4 linked regions of the Saccharomyces cerevisiae S288C genome follow. The gene in region 2 interacts genetically with the main gene of each other region. Each region holds a gene or a part of one and is shown on either strand. Other genes may lie near its edges.

Evidence for each region.
Region 1: mutations in GAL7 (region 2) and GAL80 together harm fitness less than expected from each alone (positive genetic interaction), as found in Saccharomyces cerevisiae (one study listed by BioGRID).
Region 3: mutations in GAL7 (region 2) and MSC6 together harm fitness more than expected from each alone (negative genetic interaction), as found in Saccharomyces cerevisiae (2 studies listed by BioGRID).
Region 4: mutations in GAL7 (region 2) and DFP2 together harm fitness more than expected from each alone (negative genetic interaction), as found in Saccharomyces cerevisiae (2 studies listed by BioGRID).

Annotation. Positions count from the first base shown.
Region 1 is NC_001145.3:169,590-173,419, reverse strand, and holds GAL80 (transcription regulator GAL80), read right to left. Parts: upstream 1,827-3,830; coding exon 519-1,826; downstream 1-518. Other genes in the region: AIM32 (Aim32p), read right to left, coding at 1-281; SUR7 (Sur7p), read right to left, coding at 2,110-3,018; YML053C (uncharacterized protein), read left to right, coding at 3,666-3,830. UniProt on the Saccharomyces cerevisiae protein: This protein is a negative regulator for the gene expression of the lactose/galactose metabolic genes. It binds to GAL4 and so blocks transcriptional activation by it, in the absence of an inducing sugar.
Region 2 is NC_001134.8:273,892-277,484, reverse strand, and holds GAL7 (UDP-glucose:hexose-1-phosphate uridylyltransferase), read left to right. Parts: upstream 1-1,957; coding exon 1,958-3,058; downstream 3,059-3,593. Other genes in the region: GAL10 (bifunctional UDP-glucose 4-epimerase/aldose 1-epimerase), read left to right, coding at 1-1,232.
Region 3 is NC_001147.6:1,000,592-1,005,107, reverse strand, and holds MSC6 (Msc6p), read left to right. Parts: upstream 1-1,882; coding exon 1,883-3,961; downstream 3,962-4,516. Other genes in the region: SOG2 (Sog2p), read left to right, coding at 4,280-4,516. UniProt on the Saccharomyces cerevisiae protein: May be involved in the control of meiotic sister-chromatid recombination.
Region 4 is NC_001133.9:184,708-187,060, reverse strand, and holds DFP2 (DUP240 family protein), read right to left. Parts: upstream 741-2,353; coding exon 516-740; downstream 1-515. Other genes in the region: pheromone-regulated DUP240 family protein PRM9, read right to left, coding at 1-225; KTD1 (DUP240 family protein), read right to left, coding at 1,465-2,169.

The sequences.
Region 1 (3,830 bases), on a different chromosome or scaffold from region 2:
GTATCCAAATTATGATTCCATGCTACCTTCCATGGTTGAGCAAACCTATCACCCGGTGATAACAGCAAAACATGCTTATTGTAATTGGGCGTTCTATGAGGAAGCTTGATATGAGGATCTAATGGATCAGTTTTTGAAGGCAGCCTTGCGTTTATTTCTTGGCAATAACAGTTTGTTTGATCATTTTGAGCACGGGTATGAAGATCAGGAACGCTAATATGTTTGAAGCTATGATGGAAGGATGCCCGCTGCTGCAAAGTTTTGACAGTTATACGTAGCATTTTATTTTTTGTGTCAGTGCACCTTCTCTCACTTTTCTACTAAGGAAATTTGATATTTCAAATGTAGTATGCTAATAAATAAGAACACCCGCATGCACGAAAAAGGGAAATTTAAAACTAGTTAGGTAAACAAAGTTCAGAACAAGAAATGATATGGTTGTTTTACATAGATATATACTCAGTATTCGTTTTTATAACGTTCGCTGCACTGGGGGCCAAGCACAGGGCAAGATGCTTTTATAAACTATAATGCGAGATATTGCTAACGTTTAATGTGGAGCCCATCATGTTACTTTTATAAACGCTCTCGATTAACCTGTGTAATATCAGAGCATCCATCAAGGTGGGAAAGCCTTCGAAATCGAAACCTTGCATTACAAATTGTGAGGGTAATTCAGGAATTTTCTTTGTATTGAAGTGGAAGTCAGAGATAGATTGATACAGTCGATGAATATTACCCACAATGGCATTATAATTTCGTAAATGATATACTTCCATGATTTCTTTACCTGCATCATACCCCGGGTCTAAAGGAGCTTGTTGTCCATTGGCTAGCGGGAAGTCGTTTGCTCTAGTTCCACTGTAGTAAAGGACCAGATTTGAAATTTCTGCGAAGCCGGCATCGCCTTCAAGTTTCAAATCTCCCTTGGTACCGTGAATGTCAATGACCAAATTTTTGGTAAATTTTTTGGTAGGTTTGCCACCTTTGAAACTGCATGACACTGGAACATTGCCATTTAACAATGTGCCTTGGAATAAAAGATGATCCGGTACTGTCTTTGGGACTCGCTGGCCCAATCGGTTACCACGCTCATCTATCAGCTCTTGCTCTGGAATATTATTGAAAACCATTGCATTTATCCTGGAAAAGTACGAACTTGTCATGTATTGTAAAATATCGATTGTGTGACCAAATGTTGTGGTTACCAGATCTACACCGTTCCCGATTTCATAGATGTATTTTGGTGATTTAACAGGCCTTTCGTAGCCGTACCAACCGCCATTTCCAGCAATCTCGATCGAATTAATGTCGCCGATATAGCCTTGAGATATTAATTCTTTTGCTCTCAAAATATATGGTGATTTACGACCTTGTAAAGAGATGATGGTTTGAACCCCACGTTCAGCAGCAGCCTTATAAATGGATTCGGCTTGATCTAGTGAACATGCAAGGGCCCATTCTACGAAAAGATACTTGAGGTTCGGATTATTTTTGGAGAATTCCAAGAGAGGCATAACAACTTCATAATGGCTGGCCACTTGGATAGCTATCACTATCATATCTATAGTGGAAGATGATGCAAATGACTCTAAAGTGGGAAAAGCAGTGGCATTACTCAATTTTAGACGCTGAATGGTGGCAATAGAAGTCTCAATTTTTGGACTGTATAAGGCAGTGATTTGAAATTGTGACGATAGTTGCAGTATGGCGGGGTAATGTGTCTTGATTGCCCATCCTTTGGCTGCGTTGAGACCGACGAATCCGACTCTTATGGGAGCTGCATTAGGCACGGTTGAGACCGAAGATCTCTTGTTGTAGTCCATGACGGGAGTGGAAAGAACGGGAAACCAACTATCGAGATTGTATACGCTGGTCGGCAAGGACCAGCAGTGATATGTGATGTATATATATTCAGGTTCAAAAAAAAAAGTTATGAGCTTTTGGTTATTATGAATGTAGCAGACATTTTGAGGTCGTTCGGGCGAGAGTGCGCCGGTAAATGAAGAAAATATAGGATATTATTAATATTAGAATTAAACTATTATATTGCAGGGGAGAGAAGAAAGGGGTATAAATATATATTACAAAGCGGAAAACTTGCGCCATTTAAACAGAGACATCGTCCGGGCGCTCGTGTGATTTTCTTATAGTGAAGAAGTTAATACCTTTAGGTTGGTTTTCCGTAGCAGCAGTGGCAGTGACCGGATTAGCATTGGAAGAAGGCCCCACTATGCTTGCACTTTGTTGCATGTCTTCAGGTCCAGTGGCAGTCAATATTGGGTCAGTTGCTTGCTCCTTCTCTCTATGGAAGGGATTCCATCTGGAGGAGGTTCTGTATCTTGAATTGTCGATGGAGTAAGTAGAGGCCAACCTTGCCCTAACAGACCAGAAGACCAGCAGGATAAATTCCACGATACATAAAAAGACACTTGCCCAAGCCATACCCATCATAGAGGCACCCAATTGGGCACTACGATGATCGTCATGGAAAGCATTCTTTGCCATGGCAGAGGCGGCCGTTTGCAAGACAACGGCTGCCGTATTGAAGACAAACCCAAAAGACATGAGGATAAGCACCATCTCTGAAAGCATCTTCGAGCACCAAGTCAAAACGTAAAGGATAAACGACACACCTACAAAGGCAAGCGCAATCCAAAAGAAACAAAATGAAAATCTAGTCAGGTAGTAAAAAGCGTCTCTTTTGGAAATAAACTGGTGAGGGACATTGATGTGTGTGTTGAAGTTATCTACTGGGGAAATGGGGTATGCAGGTGCCAAATTGCTTGTGCAGGTATCCGACCCGTCTTTATCCTGTAGACAGGCGCCCCAAAACGTCCAACGTGTTTCATCCCCAGCATTAGGTATGCCTGTTGTATTGCCCTGCACCCAATAGAATCTGTTCACGGGGTAATGGTCCGTGGCACCAGATATAATCATCAAAATTAACAGCAAGGTATTACCTGCTAAAAACAGCAACACTACCAGACGTAGTACTATATTCCAGACCTTAACCATAGTATTGTGCGGATATGCGTTACTATACTTAGTCTCTTCAATATCTACGGGAGTCAAGAGGTATTAATAAATCTTCTTGCGTGGGTGTTGCTTGTTTGTTTGCTGTTTAAGTATCGAGGAGATGTTGAAAAATGTATCGGGGGCCTCGAGGCGACACCTGCTAATGTTTACAATTTTCCCGATTGGGGTGCTAGAGGCATACAGTGGGCTACATGGCACAGCACGGCAGTGCAGAGTGAGAAAATATGACTTCACGCTCGAGGCGAGGCCACGCTTTCGAAGCTTCGAATGCCACTACCTAGACCATTGCTGTTTTGTACCTTCACGGTCCCATTAGAGACATTTTACTTAATGCAAGATTGCCATATCCGTTGTCATGGTACCAAACAGGGTAATAATTTCTAGAAATCATGATACACGTATGACATCTGGGTAACCTAATCCATCTGGGTAACCGATTTTTCTCTCCCTTTGCTTTCTCTTTACCACTCAGCTGACTTTATTATTTTTTTTATATTTTTCATTTTGACAAAATTATATAGTTAGGAAGAATACAATAGGACTGCGACAGAAACAGATAAGGGCTCTTTTTTCTTGGGGTTGGCTGCTTTTATTCATTAATTTAAGACTCAAGTGTGCTGCGTGAAATGCTCTCATACTATGAACACAATACTGCGTTCCAAACAAACAATTGCAATTCCGGTAGCAATGCCGCCACTACATACAACAGCGACGCCAATAATGATACGATCATGAATAAAAGAAAAAATGACCATTTCGAGTTTGATACACACACTTTCTACCAAAGATCG
Region 2 (3,593 bases):
AAGTTTATCATGCATTCTGCAAAGCTTCTGGTATTGATCTTCCATACAAAGTTACGGGCAGAAGAGCAGGTGATGTTTTGAACTTGACGGCTAAACCAGATAGGGCCAAACGCGAACTGAAATGGCAGACCGAGTTGCAGGTTGAAGACTCCTGCAAGGATTTATGGAAATGGACTACTGAGAATCCTTTTGGTTACCAGTTAAGGGGTGTCGAGGCCAGATTTTCCGCTGAAGATATGCGTTATGACGCAAGATTTGTGACTATTGGTGCCGGCACCAGATTTCAAGCCACGTTTGCCAATTTGGGCGCCAGCATTGTTGACCTGAAAGTGAACGGACAATCAGTTGTTCTTGGCTATGAAAATGAGGAAGGGTATTTGAATCCTGATAGTGCTTATATAGGCGCCACGATCGGCAGGTATGCTAATCGTATTTCGAAGGGTAAGTTTAGTTTATGCAACAAAGACTATCAGTTAACCGTTAATAACGGCGTTAATGCGAATCATAGTAGTATCGGTTCTTTCCACAGAAAAAGATTTTTGGGACCCATCATTCAAAATCCTTCAAAGGATGTTTTTACCGCCGAGTACATGCTGATAGATAATGAGAAGGACACCGAATTTCCAGGTGATCTATTGGTAACCATACAGTATACTGTGAACGTTGCCCAAAAAAGTTTGGAAATGGTATATAAAGGTAAATTGACTGCTGGTGAAGCGACGCCAATAAATTTAACAAATCATAGTTATTTCAATCTGAACAAGCCATATGGAGACACTATTGAGGGTACGGAGATTATGGTGCGTTCAAAAAAATCTGTTGATGTCGACAAAAACATGATTCCTACGGGTAATATCGTCGATAGAGAAATTGCTACCTTTAACTCTACAAAGCCAACGGTCTTAGGCCCCAAAAATCCCCAGTTTGATTGTTGTTTTGTGGTGGATGAAAATGCTAAGCCAAGTCAAATCAATACTCTAAACAATGAATTGACGCTTATTGTCAAGGCTTTTCATCCCGATTCCAATATTACATTAGAAGTTTTAAGTACAGAGCCAACTTATCAATTTTATACCGGTGATTTCTTGTCTGCTGGTTACGAAGCAAGACAAGGTTTTGCAATTGAGCCTGGTAGATACATTGATGCTATCAATCAAGAGAACTGGAAAGATTGTGTAACCTTGAAAAACGGTGAAACTTACGGGTCCAAGATTGTCTACAGATTTTCCTGATTTGCCAGCTTACTATCCTTCTTGAAAATATGCACTCTATATCTTTTAGTTCTTAATTGCAACACATAGATTTGCTGTATAACGAATTTTATGCTATTTTTTAAATTTGGAGTTCAGTGATAAAAGTGTCACAGCGAATTTCCTCACATGTAGGGACCGAATTGTTTACAAGTTCTCTGTACCACCATGGAGACATCAAAAATTGAAAATCTATGGAAAGATATGGACGGTAGCAACAAGAATATAGCACGAGCCGCGGAGTTCATTTCGTTACTTTTGATATCACTCACAACTATTGCGAAGCGCTTCAGTGAAAAAATCATAAGGAAAAGTTGTAAATATTATTGGTAGTATTCGTTTGGTAAAGTAGAGGGGGTAATTTTTCCCCTTTATTTTGTTCATACATTCTTAAATTGCTTTGCCTCTCCTTTTGGAAAGCTATACTTCGGAGCACTGTTGAGCGAAGGCTCATTAGATATATTTTCTGTCATTTTCCTTAACCCAAAAATAAGGGAAAGGGTCCAAAAAGCGCTCGGACAACTGTTGACCGTGATCCGAAGGACTGGCTATACAGTGTTCACAAAATAGCCAAGCTGAAAATAATGTGTAGCTATGTTCAGTTAGTTTGGCTAGCAAAGATATAAAAGCAGGTCGGAAATATTTATGGGCATTATTATGCAGAGCATCAACATGATAAAAAAAAACAGTTGAATATTCCCTCAAAAATGACTGCTGAAGAATTTGATTTTTCTAGCCATTCCCATAGACGTTACAATCCACTAACCGATTCATGGATCTTAGTTTCTCCACACAGAGCTAAAAGACCTTGGTTAGGTCAACAGGAGGCTGCTTACAAGCCCACAGCTCCATTGTATGATCCAAAATGCTATCTATGTCCTGGTAACAAAAGAGCTACTGGTAACCTAAACCCAAGATATGAATCAACGTATATTTTCCCCAATGATTATGCTGCCGTTAGGCTCGATCAACCTATTTTACCACAGAATGATTCCAATGAGGATAATCTTAAAAATAGGCTGCTTAAAGTGCAATCTGTGAGAGGCAATTGTTTCGTCATATGTTTTAGCCCCAATCATAATCTAACCATTCCACAAATGAAACAATCAGATCTGGTTCATATTGTTAATTCTTGGCAAGCATTGACTGACGATCTCTCCAGAGAAGCAAGAGAAAATCATAAGCCTTTCAAATATGTCCAAATATTTGAAAACAAAGGTACAGCCATGGGTTGTTCCAACTTACATCCACATGGCCAAGCTTGGTGCTTAGAATCCATCCCTAGTGAAGTTTCGCAAGAATTGAAATCTTTTGATAAATATAAACGTGAACACAATACTGATTTGTTTGCCGATTACGTCAAATTAGAATCAAGAGAGAAGTCAAGAGTCGTAGTGGAGAATGAATCCTTTATTGTTGTTGTTCCATACTGGGCCATCTGGCCATTTGAGACCTTGGTCATTTCAAAGAAGAAGCTTGCCTCAATTAGCCAATTTAACCAAATGGTGAAGGAGGACCTCGCCTCGATTTTAAAGCAACTAACTATTAAGTATGATAATTTATTTGAAACGAGTTTCCCATACTCAATGGGTATCCATCAGGCTCCTTTGAATGCGACTGGTGATGAATTGAGTAATAGTTGGTTTCACATGCATTTCTACCCACCTTTACTGAGATCAGCTACTGTTCGGAAATTCTTGGTTGGTTTTGAATTGTTAGGTGAGCCTCAAAGAGATTTAACTTCGGAACAAGCTGCTGAAAAACTAAGAAATTTAGATGGTCAGATTCATTATCTACAAAGACTGTAAAAAGAAAGTGGAATATTCATTCATATCATATTTTTTCTATTAACTGCCTGGTTTCTTTTAAATTTTTTATTGGTTGTCGACTTGAACGGAGTGACAATATATATATATATATATTTAATAATGACATCATTATCTGTAAATCTGATTCTTAATGCTATTCTAGTTATGTAAGAGTGGTCCTTTCCATAAAAAAAAAAAAAAAGAAAAAAGAATTTTAGGAATACAATGCAGCTTGTAAGTAAAATCTGGAATATTCATATCGCCACAACTTCTTATGCTTATAAAAGCACTAATGCCTGAATTTATGTTGAAAATATGTGTCACAAATAAAGAAACTGTGACATCTGACACATTTCCACTTTATTGACAAGAATAGAATTTCTTTAAGTTTCCCCTCTAGATTATTTATTTTCAAATTTTAGGCTCTGTTGAAGTTTATTACGTAGAAATTCCTACGATAGTTATTAGTCCTAATTGGATGTTGCAGCAAGGCTCATTGTCGGTGTCGTTATCGATGGAAATCCTGCACCTATGT
Region 3 (4,516 bases), on a different chromosome or scaffold from region 2:
TGGTTTTTTGTCTTTTTTCGTATTTTTTTGTCCTTTTCTAAAATACTATAGCAAAGCAAAAAAAAAAGTAAAAAAAATTTGATTTATGAAAAGTTGAAATATCCTGGAAAAATTAGTTAAAACCTCCCAATATTTCTGTAGTTATTGATTGATTGCCCGTTTATTTTCTATTTTGCTGATATTGTTTCTGCTAACGTTTCTTTATATAATCCCGCTTGCTGACACAGAAGTGACTAAAATAGGGTAAAAAGGGAAATTATTACGAAAAGGGCAGTCCAAAGCAAATAAAAAACAATGGAATAGAAAATAAAAAAAATTAAAACTCAAAATAAAATGTATTCCAATGTAAAGGAAAAAATAAAATAATAGGAAAAAAGAAACTATTATTTTAAAGCCTTCAATAATGGAATGCTGAAAAGAAAAGTTATGATTTTGGTAATTTGAGTCAAATAGTCAATCAATGACTTTTTGTTTTTGGTTTTTCAGAAATAGAAATTACCAAGAACCTTAATTGATAAAAAAAAGGGGAGCTTGAAGGGAATACTGATAATACAAACAATATCGTGTAAAAAAAACCTACGTAAAAAATTAAATCAAGCCAAGCGAGAACAGAAAAAAAAAATGAAGTAAAATATTGGACTGGAATATGAAAATTTTAGAAAAAGAACTAGCCGGGATAAAAGTACAAGAAAAGGAGAAGAAGAAAAATTTTTGACTTCTCATCGCATGGGTTTTCAGAAAATTTTCTTATCAAAAATTTCATCGGGCGTATGATTTTCGTTTTTTTCTGCGTCGTTCCTTCACAAAGTATCGAAAACCCCAAACAAAAAAAATATAAAAAAAAAAAAACACCCTTGCACCCATAACATACGGCGAGATGTAAGGTAGGTATAGCAGACTTAGATATTGCGTGCGAATCAGTTTGATTCGCAAGTAAAATCTTCATGCGCATTAGTATAGAGCGTTGGAAGCAGTTAACATAGTATTTCGGTTTTTTTTCCCTTTCATAAAAAGGATTCTTCTTCCATAATCCCTTGCGTGAGTTGAATATGAATGAAACTCGTTGAACTAGTGAACAACAAGTGATTGTATGCTCATATTTAGTACTAACATTTCAGCATTGTATAATCCTTTCTTTACTTTCAGGATAAAGACATACATTCTACGTATGATCAAGAGTAAGGAACAAGAATATTAAAAAAAACGAGATGAACCTTGAGTATATATATATATATTTACACCAATGTGCCCTACGAAAATAGTGAAAAAAAAATTTCAGTTGCAACCGCGTTTTGTCCGTTAGTATCTTTTGTCCGTACACCTCGTACTAAAAAAGAAAACCAGTCCAAAAAGAAAGTCAAACGGTCCAAATCGGAAACACCGACGCTCAGCTTAATAAACATTGTGTAGAGCCAAGCGGAAAAGAATACCATTTAGCCGCCGATGCAGAAAACCGGTATATAGAGCTGAAAACAAAGATTGAACTCTCCAGACAAGTTAGAAGTAAAAGCAAGTAATATATAAGTTTTATAAGTGAATATTCGGTCGAAGGTAGTGTCAAAGTTACATCACCAAAACTACTTACTATTGAGGAAATATCAGGTGTGCCAATACGTTAATTGATCTGTGAATAAAAAACGAAGTTGGAACATTGTATTACCTTTCAAATATGCCATAAAAGGTTGCTCGTCGACTAAGTAATTAATCGATTATAAGAGGGAAAAAGCGGGGTAAGTAAAATGTAATATCATCATATACGATATACATACCGCCTGTGGAATCGTTCAATTGCTACACATGTCTAACTAAGGACGTACTGTCTATATGTTTGCTTAAGTTGGCTCTGCACAAAATAATATCAGAGCCTTCCACTGGGATACAGATGCTTTCCCATAATGCTTTAAGGGCCTTTGATTGTTCAAAGGTGATTATTTCACGAAGATGTCTAACCTCTTCAACATCGATATACCAACAAAGCAGCGTTCACTTACAAGAAACAGATGATGGACATTCAGGAAATAGAGAAAAGCACGTCTCACCGTTTGAAAGGGTACAAAATTTGGCTGCTGATTTGAAGAACGAGTTGAAAGCTCCAGATTCAGATATCAATGAAGTTTTTAATGACTTTAAAGATAAGATTGAATCGTTGAAACAGAAATTAAGGAACCCTTCACCTATGGAAAGATCACACTTGTTAGCGAATTTTTCTTCGGATCTCCTACAGGAATTAAGTTACAGAAGCAAAAATATGACGCTAGATCCTTATCAAGTATTAAACACATTGTGCCAATACAAATTGGCACGCTCACAACATTTCACGATTGTTTTAAAGTACCTTCTATATAATCAATCACCACAGGACGTTATTGCCTTATGGGTGAAGTACTTGGAAACCATTTCCGAAAACCCAGTGATCTTACTTCAAAATAGTTCTTCTCGTGCACATATGCAAAATATTGCAATTACCACCATTGCTTACTTATCTTTACCAGAGAATACTGTGGATATCAATATTCTGTATAAGATTTTACAGATCGATCGTAAAATGGGCCAGGTTTTACCTTTTAACATGATTAGAAGAATGTTAAGTACAGAATTTAGCTCTCTTGAAAGAAGAGACGTGATTATCAAAAATCTAAACACTTTGTACTATCAATACACAGTACAGGATAGTGATCATTTCTTAAGTCAAATTGAAAATGCTCCTAGATGGATAGATTTAAGGGATCTTTATGGCCAATACAATAAACTTGAAGGTGAGAAAAATGTAGAGATCATAAGCAAGTTCATGGACAAGTTTATTGATTTGGATAAACCCGACCAAGTTGTTACTATTTATAACCAGTATAGCAAGGTTTTCCCAAATAGTACGTCGCTGAAAGATTGTCTTTTAAGAGCTGTGTCGCACTTACGAGCTAAATCGAGTAAAGAGAAGTTGGACAGAATTCTAGCAGTCTGGAACAGTGTTATCAAACCAGGAGATAATATTAAAAACACATCTTATGCGACGCTAGTTAACGCACTAACTGATTCTGGAAATTTCAACCATTTAAAGGAATTTTGGGAAGAAGAACTTCCTAAAAAGTTCAAGAAAGATCCCATCGTGAAGGAAGCATTTCTCCTGGCCTTATGTCAAACTTCGCCTCTAAAGTATGACCAAGTCAAAGGGGAGTTAGCAGAGACTGTTAAAACCAAGAAGTTGTTCAATAAAGTTTTATTGCTAATGTTAGATGATGAAAAAGTGAGCGAAGAACAATTCAACACATTTTACTATAACCATTATCCATCAGATGGTGTGTTACCCCCTACTTTGGATACTCTAAGCATTAAAATGTACGCTAATTATAAATTTCAGGCAGAAGATACACGCCCACAATTCGATCTATTGCAAAGTGTTTCCATTAATCCCACCGATTATGAAAAGGTTGAAAAGATTACGAAAGCCTTTATTTCAGTGTGCCCCACTGTCGAGCCGATTCGTCAACTTTACAAACAATTGGGAACTCACTTAAATGCTAGGAATTATGCAGACTTTATTTCCGCAGAGTTTAATAAGCCTGACGGCACAGTGGCCGAGGCAAAGAATTTGTTTTCTGATTTTCTCTCATATCAAAAGACTAGAAAGAGAAACGTGGATAATACGCCTCTAAATGCTTTATTATTGGGGTTCTGTGATAAACTTTACAAGAGTAAACATAGCGAGTACGTTCCCTACATCGAAAAGTACTACAATCTAGCTAAGGATTCAAGTATCAGGGTGTCGAACTTGGCCGTTTCGAAAATTCTATTCAACTTGGCCACATTTGCACGCAATACTCAGCAGTTATCTGACAAAGAGGTTGCTTTTATTAACCAGTTTATGCGAGATTTAGGCACTAATGAGGGTTTTCGTCCCAACCCTAAGGATATTCAAATTTTAAAAGAATGTGATGGAATTACTGTTCCAGAAAAGTTGACTTAATACACTTGTCATAAGAAGACAATAAGAAAAGCTCAGAACCAATTTTCTGCACATATGATGCTGTAACTATATAATGATTTCTTGTATATAACTTCCGTATAATAGTTATTGCTTCCATGCATGATTCTTTCAAAGAACAATACAAAATAAAAATAAAAAAAAAAAAAAAAAATGAAAAAATGAAGCTACAAGTCGGGTAACAAAAAGTATTTCAAGATCTCTAAATATAAGTGGGCAAATAAAGTTAATGCCAAAACTCCATGCTACTTTTCACCTGAACTTATTGGGGGGAGTTAAGTCTATAAGTATCCGTAACGTATGGTAGCGACATCTTCAAAGAGGACGTTGGATCCGAAGGAGGAACATTTGCCTGCTGACAAAACATCCACTAATTCAAGCAACACTATAATATCTGAGTTGGCAACACAAGAGAAATCCAGCTCTAGTGGTACTACACTAAAATTAATAGCTCTTAATATCAAGTCCATATCAGATGAAGATGTGGGATATATCCAAAATGTTGAAAGACTGTCTTTAAGGAAAAATCACTTAACA
Region 4 (2,353 bases), on a different chromosome or scaffold from region 2:
ATCCGACTTGGCGTCGGTACTTTCTGAAGATGTTTGCATGCCCAGTTTATATCTTGTCTTCTCTATAGCTCTGCTATGGTGTTGAAGGATGTTATGCGGATCAAAATAGCGATCTGTCTTATACCAATTGAAACTTTTCATCACCTGCTTTTTACTTCGGAGGCATTTTTCATTCAATACTAAGTTCCGGAATGATACAAAATAAAAATGGTATTGAGGCGACATAAGTTGTTAGCACAGCAAAGATGGTTGCGGGTTAAGTTTTCTGATCGTTCTGGGAGAGTATTTACGTTAAAAAATAGGAATCAATTAAGCATAATCATGCCGTTTTGTGTGCTACATATCTGTTTCCCACTATATAAAGTCACGTTAGAATGCAATTTATCTAATTTACTACCCCATTTTAGCGTCAGTGGATTGGTAAATCCCTTTGCTAGCAAGGTACTGTCAGAATATTTCTCCTTCCTTTCAAATAATTGCACCAATATCTTGCCAATACTTCACTTGAGATTGTTCTACAATATCCGCTGTCTTGGAAAGCAATTTTGAAAATCTTCTCCGGGATTTAATGTGAAAGATTCGCCAGCTTCAGTCTCCTGTACATTTTCCTCAGCGTTGCTTGTTGGCTTCTCGAAAGTTCTTCCCTCAATAAAACTTAGAAAAAGACGGTGGCAATCTTCTTCGCAATAAAAGTAGTAAGGAGTACTCCATATTTTATGGTCAAATAGATATTTATTCATCTTGTACGTGATAATGTTTCATTCCCCTTTCACCGAACGCTGGCGTGTGCTTACCTCTAACGAAAGCCTAATATTAGATGCTTTATTGTCGGTCTGTCCCGGAGATGAAAAAAGAGGATAGAAGGGACATGAGATGGTATACTCGGAAATTAGTCAGTGAAATCAAAATTACAGATGCCAGGAACATAATCATTATCGGCTTACAATGAGCCCCCTCGTAACACGTAAAGTGAATAACTTAAGTACGAATTGAACATGTCTTTGGGAAGGACCACATTTCCCTCAACTAAATTGGCACCATCTCCACTCAACACATCCAGTCTAATATTTTTATTTTGTGGTTGCGATTGCATACACGATTTGAGTACTAAATTTTTGACGAATGTAATACGGACCAAACAACAGCTTTTTTATTCACTAGTTATTCTTATAACTACAACACCAAACCCTTTTTGAGATCCTTTTTTTCTTTTTCTATTGTTTGGATTTTCTTGGCTGCATTATGCGAAGCGCAACAATAGAATGTGACAAAAACTGACAGAACCCTTATTAAACAAATATGAAAACCTCTAAAAAAACTTACAAATACGATAGTTGTAGGCCATGATGTTTGTACAGCTCGAATATATGATGCTCAATTCTGGCTTCGAGATGTTCTTGAATTCGATTCTTGTTCTCGTTTTAAAGAAAAGTAAGTATACTTGGTGAATAAAATGCTTCCGCTTCAAGGTAAATCAGCGTCAGGATATTGCTTTCTCCAGTATTCACTTTGAGCCTCCTTTTCTATTTGTGTTGCCTTCAAAACATATGCCATCAAAATAGGGTCTGATCTAATACTATAAAAGTTGTTTAGACCATTTGAAGTCTTCCCTGCTGAGACAGGTGATTGTGTATCCTCGGCACTATTCGATGAGGAATCCGAGTGCGAACCAGAATTCACTTCCTTGATAAGAGTGGTGAAGAACTCATGGCACTTCTTGCCGCTATAGAAATAGTACGGGGTATACCATAGTCTCTTCATGAATAGATATTGGTTCATATTATATGCGACAGTACCCCATTCCTTCCCCGCAGGCTTGCGTGCGATCACCTCCACTAAAAGCTTTATCATGAACTCCTGTTCAGTGATCGCTTTCCCGAATGTGAATGCTGCAACCACCATTAAAGCCATGGAGGCTACTATAAGGGACATCACTAAGATCACAGTGCACCCGTCGTTATCATGAAAAAGCACAATCAATGAGATCAAACTCACGATTATGATGATCATAAACATGATCGGTTTACAATGAGCAATTTCATAAAGTACATAACTCAGATGTGAACTGAATGTGTCTTCGGGAAGAGCTACATTCTCTTCGATTAAATGTGCACTGGGTTCGTCGAGAGTATCCATCTTTACGTCGGTATTTTCTGAAGGTGTTTGCATGGTCAATTGATATCTTGCCTTAATATGGCACTTATAGATGTTATCCTGATCAAAATAGCCAGCTGTTTTATGCTTTTTTAACGTTGTTCACCATTGTATTTATTATTTTTGAGGCATTTTTCACGTATTGTTGCAACGTCCCGAAGGGATTCGATGTGATCGAAAAGCGTCCCGGCTGATCTAT